Linked DNA regions of Ovis aries. The protein of the gene in region 1 purifies or fractionates together with the protein of each later gene. This does not show direct contact. Links are inferred from orthologs where the notes say so. Each region holds a gene or a part of one and is shown on either strand. Other genes may lie near its edges. The genes, in order: FKBP5, protein argonaute-1, CHUK, MCMBP, CDK9, PHLPP1 and USP49.

What was found.
Region 2: the proteins of FKBP5 (region 1) and protein argonaute-1 purify together in Homo sapiens (affinity purification with mass spectrometry; 6 studies listed by BioGRID and IntAct, with this or other methods). This does not show direct contact. The link is inferred for Ovis aries from reciprocal best matches to the Homo sapiens genes FKBP5 and AGO1.
Region 3: the proteins of FKBP5 (region 1) and CHUK purify together in Homo sapiens (co-immunoprecipitation; 4 studies listed by BioGRID and IntAct, with this or other methods). This does not show direct contact. The link is inferred for Ovis aries from reciprocal best matches to the Homo sapiens genes FKBP5 and CHUK.
Region 4: the proteins of FKBP5 (region 1) and MCMBP purify together in Homo sapiens (affinity purification with mass spectrometry; 3 studies listed by BioGRID and IntAct, with this or other methods). This does not show direct contact. The link is inferred for Ovis aries from reciprocal best matches to the Homo sapiens genes FKBP5 and MCMBP.
Region 5: the proteins of FKBP5 (region 1) and CDK9 purify together in Homo sapiens (affinity purification with mass spectrometry; 10 studies listed by BioGRID and IntAct, counting the BioPlex papers as one, with this or other methods). This does not show direct contact. The link is inferred for Ovis aries from reciprocal best matches to the Homo sapiens genes FKBP5 and CDK9.
Region 6: the proteins of FKBP5 (region 1) and PHLPP1 purify together in Homo sapiens (affinity purification with mass spectrometry; 4 studies listed by BioGRID and IntAct, with this or other methods). This does not show direct contact. The link is inferred for Ovis aries from reciprocal best matches to the Homo sapiens genes FKBP5 and PHLPP1.
Region 7: the proteins of FKBP5 (region 1) and USP49 purify together in Homo sapiens (affinity purification with western blotting; 4 studies listed by BioGRID and IntAct, with this or other methods). This does not show direct contact. The link is inferred for Ovis aries from reciprocal best matches to the Homo sapiens genes FKBP5 and USP49.

What each region holds. Positions count from the first base shown.
Region 1 is NC_056073.1:9,745,277-9,748,776, forward strand, and holds part of FKBP5 (peptidyl-prolyl cis-trans isomerase FKBP5), read right to left. Parts: intron 1,335-3,500; coding exon 1,192-1,334; intron 244-1,191; coding exon 129-243; intron 1-128. UniProt on the Homo sapiens protein: Immunophilin protein with PPIase and co-chaperone activities. Component of unligated steroid receptors heterocomplexes through interaction with heat-shock protein 90 (HSP90).
Region 2 is NC_056054.1:10,826,130-10,829,629, forward strand, and holds part of protein argonaute-1, read left to right. Parts: intron 1-2,175; coding exon 2,176-2,359; intron 2,360-3,500.
Region 3 is NC_056075.1:20,893,291-20,896,790, reverse strand, and holds part of CHUK (inhibitor of nuclear factor kappa-B kinase subunit alpha), read left to right. Parts: intron 1-1,208; coding exon 1,209-1,270; intron 1,271-2,522; coding exon 2,523-2,632; intron 2,633-3,457; coding exon 3,458-3,500.
Region 4 is NC_056075.1:39,499,846-39,504,030, forward strand, and holds the start of MCMBP (mini-chromosome maintenance complex-binding protein), read right to left. Parts: upstream 2,801-4,185; 5' UTR 2,522-2,800; coding exon 2,464-2,521; intron 1-2,463. Other genes in the region: SEC23IP (SEC23-interacting protein), read left to right, coding at 2,974-3,157. UniProt on the Homo sapiens protein: Associated component of the MCM complex that acts as a regulator of DNA replication.
Region 5 is NC_056056.1:8,430,806-8,434,843, forward strand, and holds the start of CDK9 (cyclin-dependent kinase 9), read right to left. Parts: upstream 2,801-4,038; 5' UTR 2,658-2,800; coding exon 2,566-2,657; intron 2,086-2,565; coding exon 2,004-2,085; intron 1,207-2,003; coding exon 1,116-1,206; intron 763-1,115; coding exon 596-762; intron 482-595; coding exon 310-481; intron 147-309; coding exon 1-146. UniProt on the Homo sapiens protein: Protein kinase involved in the regulation of transcription.
Region 6 is NC_056076.1:61,361,164-61,365,390, reverse strand, and holds the start of PHLPP1 (PH domain leucine-rich repeat-containing protein phosphatase 1), read right to left. Parts: upstream 2,801-4,227; coding exon 1,687-2,800; intron 1-1,686. UniProt on the Homo sapiens protein: Protein phosphatase involved in regulation of Akt and PKC signaling.
Region 7 is NC_056073.1:15,702,061-15,706,289, reverse strand, and holds the start of USP49 (ubiquitin carboxyl-terminal hydrolase 49), read left to right. Parts: upstream 1-1,429; 5' UTR 1,430-1,675; intron 1,676-1,765; exon of another isoform or gene 1,766-2,858; intron 2,859-4,229. UniProt on the Homo sapiens protein: Deubiquitinase that plays a role in several cellular processes including transcriptional regulation, cell cycle progression or innate immunity.

The DNA.
Region 1 (3,500 bases):
ATTATTAAAGAAATGTTGAATTTAAAACTATTCTAGATAAATATTCAGTACATTTACTCTTTTAAAGATTTTAAAAAGGAAAGCTCCATTTTGTCCATATAACTGGGACCTCTCACAGCAGTACTTACTCTCTACTGTCGCTCCCTCATTTGGGTTTGAATACCCTTCTCCTTTCCGTTTGATTCTTCGAATAATACCTCCATCTTCAAATAAATCCTCTCCTTTGAAATCAAGGAGCTCAATCTAGAAAGGAAAAAGGGATATGGCTGAGAATGGCCCAAACAATGTCAATTTAACATACTTAAATGCTAGGGCAACTATTCTCCTTTCATTTTACAAAACAAAACTCTGTTTTATATTTATCTATGCTTCTCAGTTATTGGAAAAGTAGGGAAAAAAGAACACTGCACTTTTCAATACCTGGAAAGAACCTTCACTTAATGATAATGTCTAGGACCACATCCTGTGGGGCTACACTGCAAAGACAGACAGGAAATACTAGGAAAACTGCCTTGTGGGCAAAACGCCAGAGTGACACAGTTCTGGCCCAAAACTACTTTGTTTAACTCTAGAAGCCACCACTTTTTCACCCCAAATTCATGGGAATTCCCTTCTTAAAATGTAAGACTAAACCCTATGAATCAGGCCTACAACCAACTAAAGGCGTATTTTACCTGTTTACAATGTTTCAGGCATTTTCCCTCTTAATTTTTTAATTAAGTGTGGCCAAATATGTGTGACTCAACACAGGATGAGTAACATTTTATCACCACCTACTGCTTCTAATGAGGAAGTGAGATCTAGGACAGTTATAAACCTCTGTCATAAAAATAGCTTTACAACTTGGTTTAGGTGTATTTCAACATTTATCTCCCACATTTCCCATCCTGTCCTCTGGTCGAGTCTGAATATGTCACAACTCAGACCACTGATCAGAACCTTTATTTCTAAGCCTGGTTTCTTTTGTTTATTTGGATATGACCGTTTTGTGCCAGAGACACGTTTCTAAGAAAGCACTGGCACACACCCCTTGGGTTTGTGGGAAACAATTCAAGAAGCCAAGCTCCAAAATAAATAAGTTGGATCCGATTCTCAATAGCAAGCTTAGCTCCTCGTTGCACTGCCTGTCGCTGTGGAGCCAGCACTGTAGTAGAGCAGATGCTAACAAGGCAACATCACACACATACTTGCCTCAAAAAAGAGAGTTGCATTCGAGGGAATTTTGGGGAGACTGCCAGCTGAGCCATATGCATATTCTGGTTTGCACAGTAAATGACAGATCTCCCCTTTCTTCATGGTAGCCACCCCAATGTCCCATGCCTTGATAACTTGGCCTAGGAGAAAGGAAAAAGTGGTTGAAAGCTATAGGCTGTATTTTAAGACTTTCACAAAACAAAAATTCAAACACATTTCCCATTCCTTAAACGATATACTACTCAGCTAGGAAACAGGGGCTACAAAAAAACTCAGTAAAAGTTACACACTAAGAAACAAATTGTGATTTTTTTTTTCCTGAGAGCTAACAGAGAAGATTCTCTGCTGAGAAGCATGAAAGTGGTATCAGATTCTACACTGCTCAAAGACTAAGTCTTTGAAAAGTAGCAGTAACATGATCTCTGAAATGTGGCGGGGCTGCAGTTGTTGGTTAATTTATAATTTTAACCATAAGAATAAGTGCGTGTTTTCTAGGCAGAGATGGAACAAAAATAGTATAGAAAATGGAATTTGTCCTAAGAAAGCATATAATTTAGTTGGGTAGACAAAAACAACAAACAAGAAGCAGTCGGAAAAGTATAAATTGCATAAAACGGCGCATGAAACAGATTTCTCCTCAAAGTTTAGAGTAAAAAAAAGAAGTGGTTTTTGTTTTTCTAAAAAACCAGAATGATGTGTGTCTTCTTCTGCCAAATCACAAGAACTACAGAACTCAGAAATTTTTTTTGCTTACTTCCAGGAAACTAAAAGTTTACTGTAAAACTGTATTTTTTTTTTTTTTTTTTGGATATGGACCATTTCTAAAGTCTTTATTGAATTTGTTACACTACTGCTTCTGTTTTATTGTTCTGGCTTTTTTGGCCACAGGCATGTGGTATTTTAGCTCCCGATCAGGGATCAAACCCACACCCCCCCGGCACTGGAAGGTGAAGTCTTAACCACTGGACCACTGGGGAAGAAACTTAACCTACATAATTGGATCTTACAATAAGCAGTTCCAAATCCTTTGGAAAACAACAGAAAATGTACAAAACTTCAAGGGATGATATACAAATTTGAGGTGCTCTGTCAAAGACTTGAGTATTCAAAGTGAGACCAGGTGAGCAATGAACACCAGAAAAAGCAAAATTTTGAAAACAGCTGTTATCTTGAACTGAGAGCTGATGGTAGGACTACAGTAAGAATGATTAGAATAAGAGGAACTCTACACTAAGGTATGTAAGTACAGAGGGACAAAGCATTTGTGACTCATGACTTCAGCTTAGTCTTAAGCATTACAACTTTTCAAAATATCAGATATACTTATTTTAAAGTGTATGTAAGGTATACATGCCTATTTTTACAAACACCTAAGAGAGAAAGATATGAGTGAAAAGTCATTCATTCCCTCCTTATAAGAAGCCACTGTTGTTATCTCTTTTTTGTATCTTTCCAGTGTGTGCTGTTGCTTTTTAAAAAATTTAAAACAAAAGGACAGCATACTATACATTCAGGTCGGAACTGCTTTTTCATTACATAGATTCTTATATACATATATTTTAATATATATAAATATATGACATAAAATGCTATAAATATATATAGACATGTTTATAATTTATATATGTATGTATACATGCTTATATACACACACTTATATCTTTATTCATCAGCTGACAGGAGGATATGAATTTTAGGGGTCAGCAGTATAGCCTGCGTTAACTCCAGACTGCGTAAATTAGAATACCAGGTCTGTCGCATATTAGTTGTGTGACCTTGTCCAAGTTTCCTTGTCTGCAAAATGTAGATAATAACAGTACTTGCCATATAGTTGTTATAAGAATTCAAGTGCCTGGCATATAATATACACTGAATAAGGAACAGTCGTCATCATCATCATCAATACATACTGACCTACTTCATGCTCAGTGGCTTCAGAATATTCCAGTCACTCTACTCTTGAGAAACATTATCATCAACAGTACTCTAATAAGGATTTTTGTCCCTTATGTTTGCCTTTTATGTGCAAGTATATTTGGAGAGCAAATTCCTAGAAGTGCAGAGGTGATGTGCACTTTCTATTTGATAGATATTGCCCAACTGCCCTTCCAAAAGGGCTGTATCAATATACATGCCCACACACGGTTCCAAAGTGAAAACAGTCTAGAATCATTAGAGGAAATGTCAAGTCTGCTGCTGACAGGCTGCTTCACAGTCACTGATGGTCCTCAAAGACTGTGGCTGGTTTTAGTGTGGTCCATACAGAACTTTTTTTACTCTCAACTCTGCTATTTTAAGACCAATAA
Region 2 (3,500 bases), on another chromosome or scaffold:
CTCAGACTAAAAGCTGGGGGCAGGGTGGGGTTGGGGGAACTTTGTACTGCCGTAAGACTTGCAGGAGGATGGGGTGGGAGAGAGGTTCTCTCTTCCTCCTGCCTTCCCTAGTTTGGGTATGAAGGGGAGCGTGGGGGCCTCCCTGTTTTCCCAGAGCCTCCTAGGAATGGAGGGTGCCTAAGGCTAAGCCTGGTGTGTAGTCCTATTTCTGAGGAAGAGAAGACTCTGAGGCTAGAGTGTCTGTCCCATCCCCCATCATTTCTACCCAGCCCCTAGCTCTAGGGGATGTCTTTCTCCCAAGACTCCAAGCAATTATGCAGCCTGGGAGGCTAAGGAGGTGAATGGAATGTAAGAACGTGGGGAGGGGAAGGGTATCTCTTACCAGCTACTTCCTCTAGGGTCTTGTTTGAGCTGGATTTATAATTGTTTCTGAGCAGTTTGCAGGTGTGTGTGCGTGTGTGTGTGCTTGTGCTTGTGTGTTCTTTGTGGGATGTCTACAGTTCTGTTTGTTAATTCGTTTCTTCTCTGTGTGTTGAACACCTCCTCTATGCCCGACACTGGAGATTCAGCAGTGACCAAGGCAGATACAGTCTTTGTATCTTTGAAGAACTCACAATCTAGGTTGGTGAGGGCTATGTATACGAAGGTAAACTGTCCTGTTCTAAGTATGTGTTTGGATGTGTATGTCTGACTATGGCTTGTATATAATTTCTGTCCAGCTCTTTCTACAGTAGGTGGCCAGGTGCTAGTAGTTAAGCTTTTACTCCCCCAGGTAGCCGAGTTCTGAAGGCCTTTTCTCCTCAGGCTGGGCCTCCATTTCCCTGTTTCCCTGTAGGGTAGGCTTGACAGGTGGTTAGAAGGAGACATAGCAGTTAGCTCTGGGAAGCATGCCCCTCCCTTGAAGGGTTCTGACCTCTTCCTGACCCCCCCAGCTGAGGATATGCCCCTTCCCCCCAGCCTGGCCAACTGTGAAAGCAGATCTCTGATAATGGGAGGTTCTCGGCTGTTTTATCCCTCTCTCCTCCCAACTGGGTTGGTCCTCTATTGGCCAGGACAATAGTTGATGTGGACAAAGGGTTCTCTTAGGCAGTTTTCCTTTTGTCTTCCCTTTCCCCTCAAGCTAGAAAATAAAACCAAGGGCAGCAATCAGGCTGCTGGCATTAGAGGAGAACGTAGTGGGAGTTGGCCCAGCCCTAGCCCTTTCTCAGGGGCCTCCAGTGTCTTAAAATTGATCCCTACTGCAACTGTTGGGGCCCTCTGTGTGGAAGGAGATGTGGGCCTGGAGAGAATTTTGTATTCTTCCCAGAGCCAGTAATCTCATCTTCTCCAGCATGATAATTGCTGCCCCTCCTTCCTAAATCCTCTACTCTAGCCTGCTCTTGCCTTAGTCACCTATGTTTAGCCTACCTTCATTCCCTAGATTTTTCTTCTTTTGAAATTGTGCTTCATTCTCTCCCCACTTGCAGGAAGTACCTGCCTAGGCTGTCAGCTCTAACCTATCTTGCCCCAGCCCCTATTCCAGCCTTTCCTCCTTCCCAATTCAAGCATTTTTCTGCTGTGACCTCCAGTTCTAGCGCCTTTAGCAGCTCCCTGTTTCAGCCTCCTTTCCTTGGTCTCCAGAATCTGTCCTGTTAACCTTTTCTCCTTTTCCAACCTCAGCCATTCTGTTGCCTTAATCTTTTCCCAGACATTGGCCTTCTTCCTTGCTTGTTGCCCTGGCACTTGGCCTTCTTTAGGTCTTCCTCCTGCCTGCAGTTGGAGGAGCTTTAAGGTGTGTTCAGGAGCTTTTTTGTGTGTTCAGGATGGTGATGAGTGAAGTGAGCATCTAGCTGACAGATAATAAGGTCTGCTGGATACCTGGTGGAGGCAGATGTCTCAATCTAGTAGAGGAAAGAAAGAGCCAAATTTAGTCCCTTTATTTAACCTGTAATAGGAAGTTATTATGTACTCACTTGATGAATTTAAGATAGATAACAAGGGTAATTTTCCTAACTGGAAAAAAAAAAAAAATGGCCTGGGTTTCAACCAGTGGAAGTCCTCATTTAGGTTGGGTAGACAGGAAAGAGGCTTCCCCTACACTCTGCTGTTCTCATTCTAGGAGGCCTTGTGCTGTCTCTGATCAGAGTGGTAAGGAGATTACCAGACTGTACCCTCACCAGGCTCTCTGTCTTGCAGCTGCAGGTGCCTACCTGCCCCCCCTGCAGCAGGTGTTCCAGGCACCTCGCCGGCCTGGCATTGGCACTGTGGGGAAACCAATCAAGCTCCTGGCCAATTACTTTGAAGTGGACATCCCTAAGATTGACGTCTATCACTACGAAGTGGATATCAAGCCAGATAAGTGTCCTCGCAGAGTCAACCGGTAAGTGATGCACAGAAGCCATTAAGTCAGGTAGTCCTTATTTTCCTAAGTCTCATAGCCTTCAAAGAATCCAGAGAGGTAAAAGAAAAACTCATTGAAGGTGATATCACCAAATTCAAGAACATTTTCAAGGAAGAGATTCTAACTTAAGGTAAATGTTGAAATAGATCACTGGATTTGGCTCTATGGAGACTATTGATAACCTTTTGCTACAGCTGTTCCAGTGGAGGAGTTGGGCTAGTAATCTAAGAGTAAGTTAAGGAATAGGGGCTTCCCTGGTGGCTCAGTTGGTAAGAGTGAGTTAAGAAATAAGTGGAAGGTGATGTGGTAGGGATAGTGAGAGCAGATAGCTTTTTGCTAGATAAGTTGATAGTGAAGCATGGGAGAGAAGGAATGTGTTGGCTTGAGAAGATTCTAGGGCTCAAGCCTGCTGCATTTCATTATTTGTGGAAATGAATAAATGAAAATTTTTTAAGAATGAGATGTGGATATGTTTATAAACCAAGAAGGAGCTAGTGTAGGAGAAGTTAAAGGTACAGGACAGGGAGGAAAGGAATGAGTGGGATGTTCTGGCTAAGGCAGGAAGACACACAGGATACACAGTTTGAGGAATTAGCCTTAGAAGAAGTAATAGTTCTTCTCAAAATTAATTTATTTTGTTATTATTTGAAAACTATTCATGCACAATATAAAAAAAAGTTTTTAATATTACAGAAAGAGTAACAGTGAAAAATGTCTCCTATTACCCTGACCTCCAGTCCCCTAGTCCCTTTCCCTAGATGCATTCATTATTACCCTTCATATACTTCCAGATATTTTTCTATACATATACAAGCATATTTGTATACAAACATTTTAAAACACACGGAATATAGAATCTTATACATCTTTCTCTGCACCTTGCTTTTTCCACTGAGCAACATATTTTGGAAAGTGATACATATCAGTACCTACAGGTTCCTCATTCTTTATTATAAGATATTTAATAATAAATCTATTCAGGAGCATTTAGGTCAAATCTAAACTTTTGCTATAAAATGAAACTGTGTAGAATATTAATAGAGATATTTTTGCTCTCAAGTATGAATGTATCTGTAGGATAAAGTCCTAGGACTAGAATTGCTGGCATAGTACATTTACA
Region 3 (3,500 bases), on another chromosome or scaffold:
ATTTCAGGGTTTTTTTTTAAAGTTTCTAAACAACCTACTGTGGAGTCCCATTGTTTTTTATTGTACATAGCCTCCAATGTTTTGGTATTTAATTCTAAGCTTATCTCCCTTCAGATGTACTAAGGAAATGTAAAAAGCAGAGTTAAAATTCAAATAATAAACCAAAAGAGTTGCCTTCAGCATTTCTGTTTGTATACTTATCTTGAGCAAGGTGTGTATATTTCAGAATTAAATGATCAACAGTGTCCAGCTGGGTAAATAAGTTTTCTTACCAAAGCTGGTTCTATGATTGATATTTTATTTCTGTTTGTGTATTATAGGCATTCTGATGAATAGCAAAACATAGTTATTTCATCAGATTTTCTTTGACTTATCTTACTAAGTTGTATATCTTAGACTACTGTTTAAAAAGAGTGAGGTAGACCTCTGTGTGCTGATATTAAAAGATCACTTGATCTTTAAGGCAGCAGTGCTTTAAGCTGGAGGAAAAAGCAAGGAAGGAAAAGTATATAGAGATGATTCTATTTATGGGAGAAAAGGAGATGTGTCGCTGTAAGAAATGATTAACACTGGGATCGCAGAAAGTGGAGAGTGGAGGGGAGGAGACTTCTATATCTCTATATAGTGTTTGATTTTTTAAAAATACCATGTTCATGTATTACTTTAAAATTTTTTTATTTTTTATTAAGAGAAAGTCATCTGTATTAGTTTCCCAGGGTTGCCATAACAAATTGCGATGAACTGGGTGACTTAAAACAATATAAATTTATTATCTCACAGTTTCAGAGGCTTAAAGTCTAAAATCGATGTGTTGTCAGGGCCATGCTCTCTCTGAAACCTATGGAGAAGAATCCTTCCTTAGATTCTTCTGGCATTCCTTGGCTTGCAGCTGTGGCACTTTAGTCTCTGCCTCTGTTGTGAAATGGCGCTTTCCCGTTCATATGTCTGTTGCTGTGTTTCTTCTTCTTTTCTTAAAAGGACACTAGTCATACTAGGTTAAGACTCAACCTTAATTTAGCTAATTGCACCTGATGCTATTTCCAAATAAGGTCAAATTCTGAAGTACAAGGTTAGGGCTTCACCATCTTTTGGGGGAACAATTCAACTCATAACTCTGTTTTTGATGTTAATATGGCAAGGAGATGGGTAGGTCAGTAATTAAACCTATGGCTATTTCTGAGATAACCAATTAAGACTTTTTTTTTTAGCCTCAGAAAAAATGTTAAAAGCTTGGAAAGAAATGGAAGAAAAGGCTATCCACTATGCTGAGGTAAAATCACTGAGCTCATTCTGTGTGCTTATTAACTCCTGAGGTCTCCCTTAGAAATTCTTTGGTTTTGGTTTGTAGAGTATTTCTCATATCATTCCTGAATATCAGACAGATACCTAGTATGTGTATGTAGAGGGAAGTACCACAGTGGATAAAAACAAGAGCTTTGGGTAAATGAGACTAAAATGAAGCCTCACTGAGCCTCAGTTTCCATGTTATATTATGGGGACCTTTTTTAGTGGGGTTATACAGATTTAAGTGGGAGTGACTAATAAATGGTAGTTATCACTGTTATTTTTAAGACTGGTTTTGATAGGATGGCTGGACACATCCTGGTTTACTCGGGACAGTTTTCGTTTACCTCTCTTGCCTTAATTATCAATTAGTTAAGTTAGTTAAGTGAAAAACGCTCAGTCGTGTCCGACTCTTTGTGACTCCTGGACTATACAGTCCATGGAATTCTCCAGGCCAGAATACTGGGGTGGGTAGCCTTTCCCTTCTCCAGGGGATCTTCCCAACCCAGGGATTGAACCCAGGTCTCCCACACTGCAGGAGGATTCTTTACCAGCTGAGCCACAAGGGAAGCCCAAGAATACTGGAGTGGATAACCTATCCCTTCTCCAGGGGATTTTCCCACCAGGAATTGAACCAGGGTCTCCTGCATTGCAGGCAGATTCTTTACCAACTGAGCTATCAGGGAAGCCTTTATTATCAATAATACTCTCAAAATTTTGCTGGTTTGGACAATAAATTTTTTATGGTCACACTATAGGTGGCAGATTCCTTCTTTACCTGGTACATCTGTCTGTGGTCCCGTTAAATTGTTGCTCTCCTTGATGCCAGCACTTCCTGAGGAATGAGTGTGGCAGTTGGTATCCTGGGTTGGGAAATCCAGTGTCTTTATCTTTCTGCATCCTTATTCAAGTTGGGAACAAGAGACACTGAAAATTGTAGAACCAAGATGCAGTGGTATTGATAGTCACTTTTACTTATTAGTGACACTTCTGTCTTTTTCCTTCTCAGGAGGAGAAAGAAAATGCTAGTAGTCTACTGTTGTCAGGAGAGAAGCCTGAAATAAGTTGGTTCTCATATGAAAGTTACATGCCATAATCTGAGAGACAAACAGACTTGAACAAAATCAGTGTTTTACATTAAATCACTTTGTTCTGTTACTGTAAGAAGTTATTCTCTGAGTTCCTCATATTGTGTGGTGGTGAGCCTGTCATTTCTTTTGTGTTTCATCATATTTTAGGTGGGTGTCATTGGATACCTGGAGGATCAAATCATGTCCCTGCACACTGAAATCATGGAGCTACAGAAGAGCCCCTACGGACGACGTCAGGGAGACTTGATGGAATCTCTGTAAGGGTGAAGTCATGTTGTTAGTGTTGGTGTCTGTAATTTTTGGTAGCAGATTATTCTTTCATTGTATTTCTGGAAGATTATATGTGGTTCTTTTCTATAGTTTTCTTTCCACAAATACATTGGCATCATATTTAAAAAGGAAGTTTTTTCCTAATCACAGGAAATTTTGGCAATAACTCTTTGGGTTGATGTTTACTATTTATTTTAAAAAAACTTTTTATTTTATATTGGGGTTATATTATAGTTGATTAACAGTGTTGTGATTAGTTTCAAGTATATAGCAAAGGGACTCACCCATATATATATATATATATATATATATATATATATACACCTATTCTTTTTCAAATTCTTTTCCATGACCTTTGCTTTTTAAACCGAAGCATCTTTTCATGTGAGTGTTACTAATTTTTCAAGTATTTTAAGTTCAAACTATTTCCCTACTTACCACACTTCTGGTTTAAGGAAGGTATCATTTATTAAATTCCCTAAATAAGGTTAACGTCCTAAGTGTTTGGATTAGAAACTTCAGATTTTTTTTTCTTTAATCACAGGACATAATTTTTTTCCCATTTAAGTGTTTCTGGTGCAGAGATACTATATAAGTGATGGTAGATCAGAGCAGATACTTAGTATATTAAACTTTGCATCTTAAGATCTTGCTTATTACCCAGCGAAACACCCTGTAAAATATTCGTTGGCAATATATAATTACTTGAAAATAGGGTCGTTACTCTATTCAAATAATATTGTTCATTTCAAGTTGGAAATAAAAAGTCGTTAAACTATCTTCATGTTTAGAACATGTTTTCTCTTTCATAGGGAACAGCGTGCAATTGATCTATATAAGCAGTTAAAGCACAGA
Region 4 (4,185 bases), on another chromosome or scaffold:
ACATGCTTTACAAGTTAATTTTCAGGCTTCACAGGATCCTATAATTACATGCAGCAGAAGTTACCCAACTCAGGTTCCCAAAGAAGAGTAAGATTTAGCCAGGAAAACAGAAGTGGGAGAGGAAGTCTTGACCAGGCAAAGGAAACAGCCTATGCAGAAAGCCTAGTGGCGTGGTTTAAGATCAGAGAACTGGAAGAAGGTTCAGTGTGAGGGGGAATACCGTGATGAGGTCTGAGAGCTGGGCAATGTGCCTGCCCAGTTGTGTCTGACTCTTTGTGACCCTATGGACTGCAGACTGCCAGCCTTCTCAGTCCATGGGATTTCGCCAGGAAGAACACTGGAGTGGGGTTGCCATTTCCTTCTCCAAGGGATCTTCCTGACCCAAGGATCAAACCTTCATCTCCAGGGTCGCCTGCATCACAGGTGAATTCTTTACCACTGAGACACCAGAGCTGGGCAGGGGTGGGGCCAAAAGGCCTCATAAACCACAAAAGATGAGTATACTTTTCTCTCTGGGCGAAAATGGATTTACAACAATTTCCTATTAGACCAAAAAGAGTCTACAAGTTTAACACCTCACTTCTCACACAAACATACCTGTAATGTTGTTGTTATAAAGCTATCCAATCCCATATATTCACAGTGATAGGAAAATATAGCAAGAATATACATTATATATCAAAGCAGCTTCTACAAAAACATCATGACTGTAAGACAGGATTAGTTTCTTCTCTGCAAGACACAATCTGTATGAGAATAAGACATTCTAGAGGAAAAACACATCAACAAGGTCCAGGTCATCAACAAAACACAAACTTCAGAAAATACTGTAGAGCCAGCATTTTATATCCAAATTACACCTACTATACTATAATGAGTTGTTTGCCTCTTAGGGTCCTACAAGCAGGAGACAAAATCTGACACAAATACATTCAAATATATACTAAATATAAAATCATCTCATTTATCCAGCCAGACTAGGACATGGATATTTCTCTTAAATTTTCTAAACATCAATTAAGCACCAAAACTTACTTACTTTTGAATGATTTTCCCTAAAAAGTGTCTCTGTGTCTGCACCCTCTTAAACCTACTGTGCAATTTAATCTTCACTCCACATTTAAAGGCCATTATTTTGGAAAACAATTATGGGTTCTAGTATTCATTATGAGCATCAATTACCAGGATTTAGTAGAGAGACATATGCCCCTTTTTGAAAAGGGCCCTGGATGGATATACAGGGATTAAAAAAAATTTTTTTAAACACTATGTACATAGTTTGAAATTTCTCCTTTAATAGGTTGTCAGTGTTCACTGGCTACAATTTGGATGCCTACCCAGGGCTTTTCCTAATATGCTGCCTCTAGTTTCAGCCTGGGAAACCAGACAACTGAACAAGTTCAAATCACAAGGAAAACGAATAGAGTTGCTCAGTGAGCCTTTCCTGCAAGAAATACATTTTCTGCCATCCGTTTTGGCTGCTGCGGACTATTTAGCTTCTTAATAAGCGTTCACGCTAATATTCCACAAGGTCTTAAGTGAGGAAGGCCACTTTCCAAGTTCAAGTTACCTCCTGACAAGTCAGGTGTTCTGATCTTACACACTGATTCCCGGTTGGGTTTGCCTCCACCACTCCTGAGTGCAAAAGACATGCGGGGTGGGGCCAAAATGCCTAGTGAACGGCAACCAGACCTAAATTTTTCTTTGTGTACCCTACCCGAAAAGTGTCATTAACCATGACTGCAAGTGAAATTTCCTGAGCTTGCCTGCCACATGCTAAGCTCTTTCTATGCAGGAACGCATCTGAGTTCGTTCACCATTTCTTGCTAGCTCTGGCCCAAGAGGAGATGGGGAGACGAGACATGTTTTAAAGGTGTCCTAACGGAAAAAAATCTAAGTTATCACACGAAATCTTATCTCGAAAAAGGAGGATGTGTGTAACCCAGGAGTTACAGCCAACTTCTGCAGCGAGCGAGCAAGCACGCGAGCACTCCCCCCACACACCGGAAGTTTTGAAATGTCCTGCGGGCTTCCCATAGGCAAAGTGCTTTTCCCTTCAGCACATCTCTGCGGGTCCTCCCGAAAGGTTCGAGGACCCCCCAACCCCAGAGTCCGGCCGCACGCGGGGCTCAGGGTCCGCCCGCGGGGCCACGAAGGGGGAAGCGAGGCCGTCAATCACGGCCGGCAGCCGGCTCCTGGCGCCGTAACCTTGGTGGCTCGGGAGTCGCGAATCGGGCAGGTGGGAGGCACCTGCGGCCCGGGCCCGGGCAGCCGCGGCCCGGACTCTCCGGGCGGGAGGGGGTTGCCGAGCGCCGGCGGCGCAGGCCCGGCTGACCGTCTCGGCCGCTCGAGCCCTCGAGGCGGCCCCGCCTGGGCGCCGCGCGGCAGGGTCCGGGCCCCGGGGGCTCGGTGAACTCGGCGGCCCGCCCGGACCCCGCCCGCCCCCCGGGCGCCGCCACTCACCGAAGAAGCCCTGCACGATGCCCAGCGGGTGGCTGAGCCAATCCTCCCCACAGGGCATCTCGCCGACTGGCCGGAGCCGGCGCGGCCCGGGCGTCCCGCGCGCCTCTGCTCCTCGTCGGGGGCTCGGCCGCTCCTCGCCCGCGCCCTCCCACGCAGGGAAAGCCTCGCGGCGCGGGCCGCCTGGCCTCCCCGCGCCTCAGGGAACGGCGGCGGAGGCGGCGGCTGTGAGGCGCTGCCGGCCACGGGCAGGCGGCGCGTGCGGGCCCCCAGCCTCCACTTCGCACAATGGCGGGAAATAGGCGCCGCCGCCGCCGACCGCGCTGCCGGCGACCTGGGTGGAGCTCGTGCGGGGAGGGGCGGCGGGAGCGCGCAGCGCGGCCCCGCGGCGGGGAGGCGGGGCGGCCTTGCTCCGGGGAGAGGGGGTGGGGCTCGGCGGGGCGGGGCCGCGGCGGCAGGGCGGTCGCCATCTTGGAGACGGGCGAGGGGAAGGGCAGGGGTGGCCTCGCGAGCATGCCGCGTGGTTACTTGAGGGCTGCATATTGCTCGGTGTCCCTCTGCAGACTCCAAAGGAGAAACTCCCGATGTCTGGTTTATCTGTTTATAGTGGCGAGGCCTTGCGCAGGTCGGAGACCGCAACAGTCCAAGAGCACAAGCGCAAAGAGACCTCAAAGTTATCTCTGGGCAAAATTAGAAGGTAACGTTGCCTCTGGTGTCTGCCCACCTCGTCCCGCCTCTTAGTGGTTTTTTTTTTTTTTTTTTTTTGGCCAATGGCAACTCTTTTGTTTGGTTCCGTGCTAGAAACCCCCTGTAATGACTTTCCTCCACTGGATCAAGTCTTCCCTCGACTGGATCAAGACAGTGGTATCTGTACACAGAAAAGATCTGGTTAATAGTAACCTTTGAATGAGGAAATTTGGAAAATATCCAAGTTCTATAATGAAACAGCCCCTAGATCTGAAATATATCGGAAAAAACCCTCCCTCTCATAACCTGAAGTACAGCGTATTAACAGAAGGATGATCCGAATGCGATCATCTCCACTCCCTAAAAAGTGAGGAGCTGGAGAACTGAACTCGGATCTCAAGCCCTCCTTAGGGCAAAAGGGTTTATTTTGTATCTGTCACTGTGAACTAATTACATTCCTCTGAATCTGGTGGGCAAGGCTGGTTGAATACCCGGATGTGGAAACTGAAGCTATGGAGACCTGATCACGCAGAGTCGTCTGTACTATTTCGTACCATTTTACATAAGAAACTCTGGCATTCAGATATCTGTTCCTGGAACCAATTCCCTGCAATTGATACCAAGGGATGACTGTGATTGGCATATTATACTATACATCTGGCTCTTGTGAGTTTGGGTGAGCTGAGAAAACGGTTTCAAATCGTTGGCATTACTACTTTCATTCATTCATTTAGCTTAGAAGGGCTCGAGATTCCTGGTATTGAATAGAGAAATCTCCTATTTAGCTTTGTGACATACAATCTTTTAAATTATAATAATTTCAATTTGCTGTATATGAAATTGCAGCTGGACACCAATTCAGCAGTGGCTAAGAACACTTCAGCTTTTGGTTTCTCCCTCTGTAGTCAGTGATTTGTAGACAATTGTTCAGATTTAACTTTAAGAGACACTGTGATCCTACTGAAATAATGTGAATAATTTCACCCAAGATGTTTTGACACTACTAATGAGTGGTTATGAAAACTTAAAAGGCCAAGG
Region 5 (4,038 bases), on another chromosome or scaffold:
GGGGGTGATGGAGCCGCAGAGCTGGCTGATGAGGGCGAGCTGGTGCTGCTCCGTGTTGCCCTGCATGATGGGGCTGCGGGTCCACATCTCCGCCATGATGCACCCAGCACCCCACAGATCAATGGGGGGGCCGTAGTCCCGCTCCCCTGGGAACAAGAGCACACCAGGGAGGGCCCCCTGAGCCCCATGGCCTCCTGAAAGGCCACGCCCCTGGGGCCGATGGCTCAAGAAGCCCTGGCAGTTGGGGTGCTGAGACTGAGCTGAGTGCCCAGCCCCTGCTCCCCTCTGCCAGCTCGGGAGAGTCCTCACCGAGCAACAGCTCTGGGGGCCGGTACCAGAGGGTCACCACACGGTTGGTGTAGCGGTTGGGCTGGCTGTTCTTGGCCAGGCTGAAGGCCCGGGCCAACCCAAAGTCCGCCAGCTTCAGAACCCCATCGCGGGTGATGAGCACGTTAGCCGCCTTCATGTCCCGGTGCAGGATCTGCAGGAAGCACAAGGCGGAGGGTTCCCAGGGATCCCTTAGCCATGCCCACCCCGCTGTGAGCGCAAAGGCCAGCCCAAGCCCTGCTCTCTCCTCCCCAACTAGGGCCCCCACCTTGTTCCTGTGGATGTAGTAGAGGCCGTTAAGCAACATCTGCATGACCCTCTTGATCTCAGATAGTGTGAACTTGACTAAGACGTTGCTCAGTAGCCCAGCAAGATCATGCTCGCAGAAGTCAAACACCAGGTATATACTGCCTTTGCAGCGGTTATAGGGGGAAGCTGAGGCAGGAAGAATGAGGAGGAGAGAGGGGGAGGCATTAAAAAAAAAATCAGAAACCTTACATGTAACTCATTTCCTCCAAACTAGCTCCCAACCCCTCCAACCCATGGCCACCCCGAATATCCGGGTACAAATTCCTTCACAGGTAAAACATTTTCTGAGTGCCTTCTCTGGGCTGGGTGCTGTGGCAGGCCCTGGGGAAGCACCTGCTCCGATGAAAAGACCAGAGAAAGCAGTCACAGTTGGAATGTCTGGGTTAAGAAGAGGCAGTGTAAATGTGTCCAGTGTCAACTCCGCAAACAAAGCCTCAGTTTTTCCATCTGAAAATGGGAACATGATCCAAACAACTTACCTTTGGTTCGACAGATCTCAATCAAGTTGACCACATTCTCGTGTTTTAGAAGCTGGAGGATCTTGATCTCCCGCAATGCTGTAATGGGGAACTGGGTGGGAGAAAAGACAGGAGGAAGTCAAAAGTGGGTGAGCACACTACAGACCCAGGAACTGACCATGGGGTCCACGCGAAGGGTCATAGGCTGGGAGACAGTAAATGCACAGGCTCTGGAATTAGCTGTCTCAGATGTCACATATGTAAAACGGGAGTAACTATGTACGCCTCATAAAGAACTGAATGAATGAATCAAAATAATTCAATGAATGATCCGAAACAGTGACACTTCACACAAAGGTTCTGTTACCAGTCATCAGACGCTCCGCAGTTTCTTCACCCTTATAAATTTTAGCCCTATGCCTGCATTTAACCTGCTTGGCAGTTAACAAATATATAATTAAAGAAGCTGGTCTCTGGAAAGCTGAACCAGAACTAACACACGTGTGTGGCAGGAGAGACTGTTGCTTTTCAGCTGAATACCAATCACCTTTTCAAAGCCATTGCATGTAATTATCATTATCATATATATATCTTTTTTGCGTTCAACAAAATTAAACCCTAAAGAAAAAGTCTTTAACGACTTCCTAACTTCAAAAACCTAGGGGCACTGGGTACAAGCATGGGCTCCCCCGCCTGGCACCAACCATATTCACCCAAGAATGAAGTATCAAAAGCTCTAAGACATCTGAATTCAAAGACTGAACTGGGAAGTCAAACTTCCTGGAATATGGAAATTTCCAAACACCTAATCTGAATCTATTACGTTGAGAGTCCCCAAACCAGAAAGGTGGAAACGCAACCTCACGCCCAAAGGAGCTGGGAGACCTGCCCACCCCACCCCATACTCACCCCCTCTTTCTCGTTCTCCATCAGTACCTTCTTCAGGGCCACCTTTTGGCCGGTCTTGCGGTGCTTTGCCTTAAACACCTCCCTGCAGGCGGAGAGGGGAGACCCAAGAGGGCTCTTAGAGGACGTTTCCGCAGAGCCCGCCCCTCCCCCACCAGAGGAGGCCCGGAAAGGGAATCCCGGGCGGGGCTGGGCCGGGTCCCTCACGGCACTCGGCTACCCCACCACGCGGTGACTCTGGTCCCTTCTCGAGTCTCAGCCTTCTTCCCTCTGCTCCTTGCGCCTCACTCGGGCGTCTCGCAGAGAGATCCCGCACCACTCACAGGCTCCTCTCTGCAACCCCTCCCTGCCCCCCCATTAAGGGCCTCAGGCTCCTCCCAGCCGGCCGACTCCTTCAGGCCCCGGCGGGGTTGCGGTGCGGCCTAGCGAGACCAGGGGATAAGTTTGCGTCTAAGTGGCTTCCCGACCAACCGGGCCCGGGTCTGGGCGTCCCGACGTCGGCCCGGAGGGGTGCAGGTTCAGGAGGCTCCCGGTCCCTGGGGGTTGAGGGGGGGCCCAGCCTTACCCGAAGGTGCCTTGGCCGATTTTAGCGAGCTTCTCATATTTGGTCACCTCATCACAAAAAGGGCACTCCACCGAGTCGTACTGCTTTGCCATGGCTGACTCCAGTGCGCCGCCGCCGCCGCCTCCAGCCACCACCGCCGCCGCCGCTGCTGCCGCCGCCGCTCCCGCTCCGGGTCCCGCCGCCGTGCTCCAGGCCCCTCCGCGGCCGCGCCACTTCCGCCTCCACGGCCACTTCCGGCCTCGAGGCGCCGACCCCGCCTCTTCCGCCCGCCGCCCGCCGCCAGGCCCCCTGGGACTTGTAGTTCCCGGGAGGCCAGGAGGAGCCGAAGCTGCAGAGGCGCCTCCGCCACCGCCGCTGCCCCCGCCTCCGCCGCCGCCGGCGCCGGCGGTGGCCCCGATCGGGGGCGCGGGGAGCCGGGGCGCCGGGGCTGGGGCTCGAGGTGGTGCGTCCCGCTGCATCGGCTCGGGCCGCCGCCGCCGCCGCTGCCGAAGCCGCTGCCGCTCTGGCGCCCGATCCGGGGCCAGCCGCAGTGCCCTGCTCCTCCTCCTCCTCCGACGGCGCCGCCTCCGCCGGGCTGCGCTGGGCGCCGGGCGCAGGGGGGGTGGGGGGGCGGCCCCCCGAGCCGCGGCCTGGGGGCTCCCTGGCCGGGCCCGGGCCCGGGGCGGCCGGGCGAGGGGGCCAGACGGAAACAGCCGATGAGGAGGCGGCCCGAGAGCCCGGGAGGGGGCGCGTTATAAAGGGGGAGGTGCCCAGGCCTCGCCCTCCCCTCCCCCTCCGCCCGCCCCCTCCCTCCTCCCTTCCACCCTCAGCGGCCGCACCTGCCGCCGCCGCCGCCTGCCTCCCGCCCGCCCGCCGCCCTCGGCGCGTCACCGCCCGCGGCCCCTCCTCCGCCTTCGGAGGTGGGGCCCCGCGCTCAACACCTGGCTTCGGGGCGCGACTTACCGCGTGCCTCAGTTTACCCGCACATGCCAGCCGCAGCGGGGAGTCCCTTCCTCCCCGGCTCGGGATTTCCCCACCCGCTCTCACACCCCACTCTACGCAGGCGAGGACTAGAGGTGCCGAGAGAGCGGCCTCGGGTCCGGGGAAGGGAGAACGGGCCCCGACCGCCGCCTCCCCGGGCCCCCGCCGACCCGCCGTTGATATGGCAACCGATAGCCGCCAGGGGGCGCGGCGACATTGAAGGTGGTGAGCCAGCAACGCCTGGGCCTTCCACTCCTGGATCCCCACCCAGTTCTCTGGGAGACAAGAGATGAGACCCACAGGACTTTGGTTCCTGCCGAGCTGCTCCCTAACTGGTCGCGCCCCGGGTTAGTAGTCACAAAGGTAGCCGGCATTTCGTCGGCCCCTCTTGTGTGCTCTGGAAGTGCTGGGCATTCCTACTGAATCCTGAATCCACCGCCCATAGTCAGGATCACTAACCAATTTTACAGAAGAGCACATTGAGGCTCGGAGAGGTGAGGTCATTTGCTCAAG
Region 6 (4,227 bases), on another chromosome or scaffold:
TCTGTTAACTTTACACCAGGATAAGTTTAAAAAACAAACAAACAAAACACCTACATATCATCCACTCAGAACATTTTGGACACACCTGAAGAGACAATCAAGGGGAATCAAAGGTTTAAATGCCACGACTAGGACACCTAAAACCCCACGGACATTCATCATGGTCAGCAAGTCAACCACGAGGAAAATGAGGCATGCAGAGCTCTTTCCATGCAAAATATGTGCAATATGTTCAAAATATGCTCAACACAGCCCTTGCTTCTTTACACACACACACACACACACACACACAGGCATTTACCATTCTCATGTTAACAAAACATTCACTCCAAGCATGATTACCATTTAACGCTTTCATAAAATAACAGTATTTTATAAATTACACGAGCCACAAGAGAGGAGAAGAATTTAGTTGTTGCTCCTACATTAAAAAAAAAAAGTCACCTATTTTCTAGGCCATAATCTTTTTAAAGACTTGTCATCAGGTTGGGGCATTATCTTCAGGTACTGCAAAAGCTATTGTATTACGATATGGTTTTCTTTATGAGGCCAAAATCCATCAGAAACCCACCTGAATTATAGAAAAACCTCAATTAAACATAAAGGAACATCTCACCAGGAATGCTACCAGTCTTGCATATCTCAATGGAGGGTGAAGAGCTCCTCATTCACAGCGACTAAACTGCTGCTAGAACCCAGGTGTGGACCAAGAGCATGAAGCTGGAGGGAATGGCTGCAGATGACGCGATTACAAGCGGGACTCTCTCCACCACCACCTGCAGCCTCAGTGCAGAAGTAGTCTACTACTTTAGTGAATTGGGGGAAGATGTAACTCCCGATTTAACTATTACACTAACCTTGTTTTAAATAAAATTCCTTACCACTAAAACATAATTCTTCAAACCAGCAGAGGAAAAGGACATAAAGAACTTATTAAGCTCAAATATACAGCCATAATTTAGCACCAGCTAAAAGAGAAACACTAGTCCCCCGTGGTCAAGAACTTGATCTAATGTATCAATTCTATCCCAATGAAAAGATTTAAGATCTTTAATCTAGAAATGAAAATAAGGATGCGGAGGATTTTAGATCGCACTCAGTGAGAGGCGGCAATCAAAAGTACTACTGTGACCGCTATGTATCCCTATTGGAAGTCACATAGTCAGTTCTGACTATAAAGGTTAGAGGGGAGAAACTGAGAGAAAGAAATAGGCAAAACCACTTCTGATGCAAGAAGTACACTTGCAGAGGAGACTGAAACAAAGCCAAGAAGCGCTGAAGAAAAGCATCACTAAAGAGGATCGTGGCTGCCGGGTTCCACCGAGGACTAAGTGGGCAAAGGACAGGACGGGGAGCAGGAGCAGGGCACCGGCCGACCCGGACTGAGCTCCGGGCGGGCGCCGCCGGCCGCGCAAGGCCGGACGCAGGCCGGGTGCTCCGGGTTTCCCGCGGTCCTTTCCCTCCGCTAGTTTCACGGCACGTGAAGTTGCCCTGAAGCCCCAAGCCCCGCAGCCCGAAGGCGGCACTGTCACTGCAGGGCCCCTCTCAGGAACATGTGCGCCCGCGGCCCCGCCGCCTGCCCCGCACCCGCGGCGGGAACCGCTCGGCTGGGTCCCACCGGTCTTCCGCGCGAGCGGCGAAGGGCTAACAGAGCCCCGAGGGCGCGCGTGCAGGTGACCGCCTTACCTGCATAGAAGCGGATGAGGCAGCCAACCTCCGAGTCCAGGCCCTCCTCCTGCACCCTCCACAGCGCCCCGAAGCCCAGCTGGAAGAGGTAGTCGTTCTGGATCTGCAGCGGCTTCTCGTCCGCCTCCAGGCGCCGCGCGGTCTCCCCGTGCAGCTGCACATACAGGGTGGGCGGCGGGGGCGCCTTCTCCGCGGCCGCCGCGTCCCCGCCCGGGCTCTCCTCCGCCGGCCGGTCGCGGGCGGCGCCGCCCGAGCCCTCGACGCCCCTCGGGGCCGTCGGCGGAGGTGGGGAGGCGGCCGGGGAGAGCGGCCGGGAGCCCGACGAGCGGCCGCGCAGGCGGGGCTGGCCCGGGTCAGCCTCGAGCTCCTCGGACGACGATGAACAGTAGGGATCCGGCGGGCGCGACGCGCCCTCGGCGCCCGGGCTCGGCCCGGGGCTCTCGGGCTCGGGGGTCCGGCCCGCGCCGTCCGGGGCCCGCGGGGAGCCCGGGCTGCAGCCCGCGGGCGCGGGGCCGGCGCGGGAGGCGCGGCGCGGCGGCGGCCCCCCGACGGCGGGCAGCGCGGCCTTCCCGGGCGGCGGCCCCGCGGGGGCCCGGCCCGGCACCTTCAGCACGCCGCCGGCCCTGGGGCCCGCCTGCAGCAGGCGGGAGGCCACCTCGCCGGCCGTGGTGTCCAGCGTGCAGAGCACCGGGCGCAGGCGGCTGGCGGCCGGGTGACGGTCGAGGACGTGCACGCAGCCGCGCTGGAGCTGGTGCCGCACCCAGTCCCGGTCCGACGGCTGCAGCGGCAGCATCTGCCGGGGTCGCGGGAGCAGCGCCCGGCGGTCCAGGCTCCGCGAGCACGGCGGCGCCGCGGCCGGGCCGGGGGCGGGGAGGCCGGCGGGGCGCGGGGCGGCGGCGGCGGACGCGTTCCTCTTCAGCCGGCCTCTCCTCAGCAGCAGCGAGCTGGCGCCGGGCCCCGGGGCGGCCCCGCCGGCGGCGGGCAGGGGCGCCGGGCCGCGCCGCCGCCTGCGAGCCGCGCCTCCCGCCCGGCCCGGCGCCGCGGTCAGCGCGGGCCCGGGGCCGCCCGCCGCGGCCCGGCCCTCCGCGCGGGTCTCCGCGGCCGCGGGCTCCATGGCGGCGGGGCTCGGCGCGGCCCCGGCTCGGGGGGCAGCGGTCGCACAGCGAGCGGGGGGCGGCGGCGCCGCCAGTGGCGTTCGCGCGGCCGTTTCGGGCGATTATGTGGCGGTTCGGAGCGCTCCGTCGGCGTCTCGGTGTTCCATCCCGCGCGCCCGCCCGGCCGCCACCGCCCCCCGCCCGCCCCTCGCCTCGCGCAGTCGAGCCAGCCGCGGAGCCGGCCTCATTGAATATTAATCGCGCGCCGGGAGCGCCGGGCGGGAGGCCGGCGGGCGGCGCGCCTCATGAATATGCATCACCCGCGTGACGGCGACCCCGCGGGCGGGCGCGCGGGGCGGAGCCTCGGGGTAAACAAGCGGGACGGCGTCGGGGGGCGGGGCCGCGCCGCCAGGCGCGGGGCCTTCCTGCGCGGGCCCGAGAGGGGAGGGGCCGAGAGACGGGCGGTGCGCGATGCCACCTGGGAGCTGTAGTTCCAGGCCGCGGTCAGGCGTCCCCGAGGGGGACCGTGGCGAACTACAAGTCCCAGAGATCCTCCAGCACCGCCCCGCCGTGCGGCCCGCCGCGGGCCCCGGACTGTGGGTCTGGTGCCCTCTGATGGAGTCGATGCTCAGCGGCGTTCGGTTCATGAACTTGTAGTTACCCGCCCATTCCTGCTCCCCGAGGCTTTCGTTTTCCCCGCTGGTTGAGACAGGGCTCGAACAGACTCCAGGCGGCACGAAGGTCCGGGCGCTCGGTCTTCCCCTCACCACCTACGAGCTCGCCCGGAGGCAGTCGTGCGGCCCCGGCCCGGCCCTCCGCGGGTCCTGTGTGAGGAGAACGGCCGAGGACGGGCCCTCTCCCTGCTCAGCTTGAGGTCCGAAAGGACTGAGGACACGGAAGGCGATGGGAAGCAGAGGTAACGCTGGAACGGAGGCGTGGGACAGAAGAAACGGGCCCTGCGCTCTCTTTTAACGTCTTCCCTTGGTTTTTCCTTCAGTATTCAGAAAAAATTACATTCTGCGACCGCAGTGTTAGTCGTGGCGTAGAGTTGTACTTTCTTGTCGATTGAAACAATATTGTAGGCTGGATTAGAGAGGTTACTGTTTAAAAGAATTTGGTAAACCTTTTTAATTGAATTACCATTCCTCCGTATTGTTTCATAAATCTGGATTTTTACATATAAGACTTGTGCAGCTGCAAACAATCCCGGGCCTGCTTAACATCAATAAAGTTACTTAACCTGGGGGTGAATTGGGGGTAGGGAGTTTAAGGAAAGAGGAAGGAGAGAGAAACAGGGAAGAAAAAAGAAAGAAACTGGAACTTGTGGCTGAAATAATAGAAACTAATAAGGGCAGAGAAAGGTGTACGTGGGTTATCTACACAGTTTTACTGAAAAGTAGAAGTTACAGGACAAAAAATATTATCTTGATTCTTGAAATTCCTGTAG
Region 7 (4,229 bases), about 6.0 Mb from region 1:
AGTTAAAATGTAAGATACGAATTCCTTAAAATTATGTTAAAGGTGTTAGCAAAGGGAGTGCTAAATTTTAGGTCTTAACTTGTGGGCTTCCCAGGTGACTAGGTGCAGGAGATGGAGGCTTGATCCCTGGGTGAAGAAGATCCCCTGGAGGAGGAAATGGCAACCCATTCCAGTATTCTTGCCTGAAAAATCCCACGGAGGGCTACAGTCCATGGGGTGGCCAAGGGTCACACACTGAACAGGAACACTGAGCTCTTGAACCACACGGCAAATCCTCATCAAATCGATTAATCAATCACTAGGATTTATCGCTTCATCAGACGTTTTTAAAGTGTTTAAGTTAGTTACCTTTGGAAGTTTCACAGAGCTGACTCCAGGCTGTAGATTCATGCTTACACATGCACATGCCCTGCCCCCTTCTTATTTTGTTTGTTGTTCTTTGGCTTCTGTTAATTCTGTTTCATATTTACAAGTGTGTAGCTTTGAGCCAGTGTAGGTAGTAAAGAATGTGTTTCTTTTCCTTGCGCTTGTATTTAAAGGTAAGCCTTTACCTGTTTCAGCCTTGCAGTTGGGTGATGTAACAGTGTTGGTCTTATTTGGAGGAACTCCCCCCCCAACTATGTCAGGACAATGCACCCAAGAGGCTCCTCGGGAAGGAAACTTTTTCTTACGTTGAGAAGATTTGTAAATAGCCGCAGTTCTGTTTCCCTGGGGTCTCCATCCCCACCTTCTGCTGAACTTCTTCAGTTTACAGCAGCAGCGAACCACTTCCTTAGGGGAATTTCCATAAAAAGGCGGAATCCCGACTTTGTCATCAGTGGCAAAAGTGAGACACTTGCTCTATCGCCTGGGAACCAATAGTGTAGCTTCTTCAAAAGCTGACTCAGGATCTTTTGGACACCGTGAAAACTGATAGTCTTATTTTTAACAGAACAAAACAAAAACCTAGACGGTATAATGAGGAACGCTTTCCCGCTTGGCAGTGGAAAGAGATGTTAAAGACGGTCCATCCCAAAGGAGTGCAGCGAACTACCGTAAGATTCCTTTACAGTTCCGCAGGCTGAAGGGCTGCGGGGAAGGGGGCGGAGATGGGCTCTTGTGAGTCTCTGGTCCTTTAAGGAGGAGGGACGGCCGTAAGACTCTGTACCTTTAAGAGTCTCTTTGTCTGGAAACCTCCTTATTTACCCTCCTGTGCTTCAACCAAACTTCGACCCGCGATTCACAACGCCCCTTTACGCCACCGCCCCTTACGCCAGGCTCAAGTCGGCCGCGCGTCGGTGGCTAACCCTAAACTTGGCGGCCGCCGCGCGAACCCCCGGAGAGGATGTCTGTGCCGGGTCGGGGCCCTAGGCTGCGCCGTTGGCGCAATGCGGGGCGCGGGGGGCGGGGCTCCGGCGGGCGGGCCAATGGGCGGAAAGGGGGCGGGGCCGCGTTCGGTTGTCTCGCGCCCTGGTGACAGCTCGCGCGTGCTGATGATGGCGGTAAATAGAGGGGGGTCGGGGGAGGGGGCGGAGGAGGTGGGGCGGCCGCAAAGGGGGTAGCTCCAGAGAGTGGGGGGACGGGAACCGGGGAGGACGTGACGGCCAGGGATCCCATTCGGAGACTCGGAGGCGGGGACAGGAGTCTCCGGCACACTGGCCCTCCCCTTTAAAGAAGCAAAATCCTCACACACCGGGTGAGGGGCGACAAAGGCGGCGCGCGGCTAGCGGGCGGGAGGAGTGGCGGCAGGGGGCGGGACCGCGGCGCCGGCGGGCTGGGGGCGCCCGGGGCGGGGGCCCGCGGGAGGCGAGAGCCGGCTGTCCTGGCGCGCCGGCCCTTTATTTTGGCGGGGTGGGCGACCGCTGGGTTTGGGGTAAAAGCCTGGAGGGGAGAAGGGAAGGCAGGCTTGGGGGCGTTTCGGGGGAACGGATCTGAGAATGAGATGAAGAGGATTAAGGGGAGAAAGGGGTAGGAGGCAGGGAGAGAAGGAGTGAGGAAAAGCCAGCCAAGGAGGTGGGAAGGAGGCAAAGCCCAGGCTGGGTGATAAGGAATCCGGGCCGGGAATGAGGTTAGGAGGACCGAGCCCGGGAAGAGGGCTCCCCCGGTTAGGTGTGAGAGCAGGGTTCTGGAGGGGAAAGCTTGGTAAGGGATGGTAGTGGGGCGAGGGTTACAGGGGTAGGAGTTGGAAGTGGAAGGCAAGGAGGGGCAGAGCTGGGGGAGTAGTTGGGAGTAGAGAGAGAGTGATTAAGAGCCAGACGTGACAAGGGTGTGAACTAGTGCAGGGCGAGATGAGCTGAACGACTAGGACCGGCGATGGGTGGAAACTGCGAGGTTCTGAGAAAGGTATGGGTTAGTGGATGGGCAGTGGGTGTGAATTCTTGAAAGTGAGGAAGAGGGGAATTAAACACTGGACTAGTAACCAGGTGGAGTTAGGAATAAGTGCGGCCGATTTGGAAGGGTGAAAAGCAATGGACAGGAGAGATGGGGCGTTTGTAGGACAATTCGGGGGCCAGAAAAGCTCAAAGAAGAGAGTGAGGGTGTGAGAAGTGATGGCGGTCTGGGACAGGGTAACTGGGGAATTGTGTTAATCGCCGAGGTTCAGCAAGATCCAAGGTCCAGACTGAGGTAAAGAGACAAGGCTGAAAGCATAGGATGAGGGGAGCAAGGAAGAGATGGACCCCAGGATTTAAAGGATGAGATGGGGAGTGAGGGAAAAGAACAGAGTTAAGGGAAGCTTGGGGAAGCCTGATGGATTTCAACCTGGGGGAGACTGCACAGTTGGGGGAGATGCTCCAGAAGGTTCACATGGGTCAGGGCACAGACTCTCTAGCGAAGGATCAAGAGTAGGGAGCCTTTGGTGCAGAAGAGGAGGAACCATGGTGAGTGAAAAGAGACCTAGAGATAGGGGCAAAAACTAAAAAGTAACAGTGGAGGTGGGGGGTGCAGGAAAGGAATTCTTTGTTGAGAAGAGAACTGTTAGTGTATTGAAAGTGTGAGTCCTTTTGTCCATGAAAGTAGGAAATTCCAGAAACCTCTTTCTCTCTTCAAGGAATCTTGAATCTGCTTCCACCTTTCATGGTTTTTTAAATCGACTTTTCATGTCCACTTTGAAAAGATGAGACCCATTTTGATTTTGTTCTTGTATGAACGATAAAGTGTCAACTGGGTGCTGAGAAGCTCTGCCTTTTACTGGTGGTGTGATCATAGGAAACTGGGTTGTATTTCCAGTGTGGTTGTGCCTGTATGGTGTGACAGTGTTGTGCTGTAGCAGTGTGGTACCTGACAAGCGCTAGGCAGTGCTTTCTCGACAGCATTTTTATTTTCAGTGGCGAGCACCCTGTTATTGAGATAGATAAAGATGAAAATCTTTTCGTTTTGTTTAATCAACCAAATTTCTGCCTACTTGTTTTTGATGGCTGGAGAACATTGAAATCATTTCAGAGAAAGGCAAATAGCCAACCAGGGAAGTTTGCAGGGGAAGAGATTTAAATCAGCGTGCTGAGGGTTTAGCTGCCTTTAGCTTTGTGTGTGACTTTTTGTACTGTAGTAGAGAACTCACCCATTTGACAAAAATGGAATAAAGAAAGGGAGATTTAGAATAGTAGAGGCTTTTACAGTGGGACTTATCTTTCAGTTAAATAATGGGTTTATGAGTAATTTTATCATAACCTGTAAGGTAATGCATGCTGGAGCCTTGGACAGCTCCACTGCCTCTCCTGTTTTGTAGGTGTGAATAAAAAAATTAATATTTTTCTAGAATAAGTTTTTTATATTTAAGACACTTTGGGGAATTTAAAGGAAGATAAATTTGGGACAAAATTTAGGTTATTCTTAACCAAGTATTTTGTTTTGATGATTTTTAATCCTGAAGCTTTTACATTTAGCTAAAAATATGAACGATTATTACTTTGCATTTGATGATACCAAAGGACAGCATATAATTTACTTAGGAAAAAACCACAAACTGTTTTTGAGACTCTTATATGAGGTTATTTCATTGGTGTACCTTCAGATACACAAAGATGCTTTTTCTTTAAAGTTGTGTAAATTTTGGATTGCCACTGTTTTCTGGATATTTGTATAAATAGCAAAGATCACCTTTATGGGATCTGTGATAGTTAGCAAAGATTAGATCTTGATTAGTGGACATCAGAAACATTGGTCATTAATATAGGTGAGTAATTTAGAATATTAAATTAAATTTCTGGGTTCAGCTGCTATGTTCATGGATTCCAGATTCTGTGGAGCAG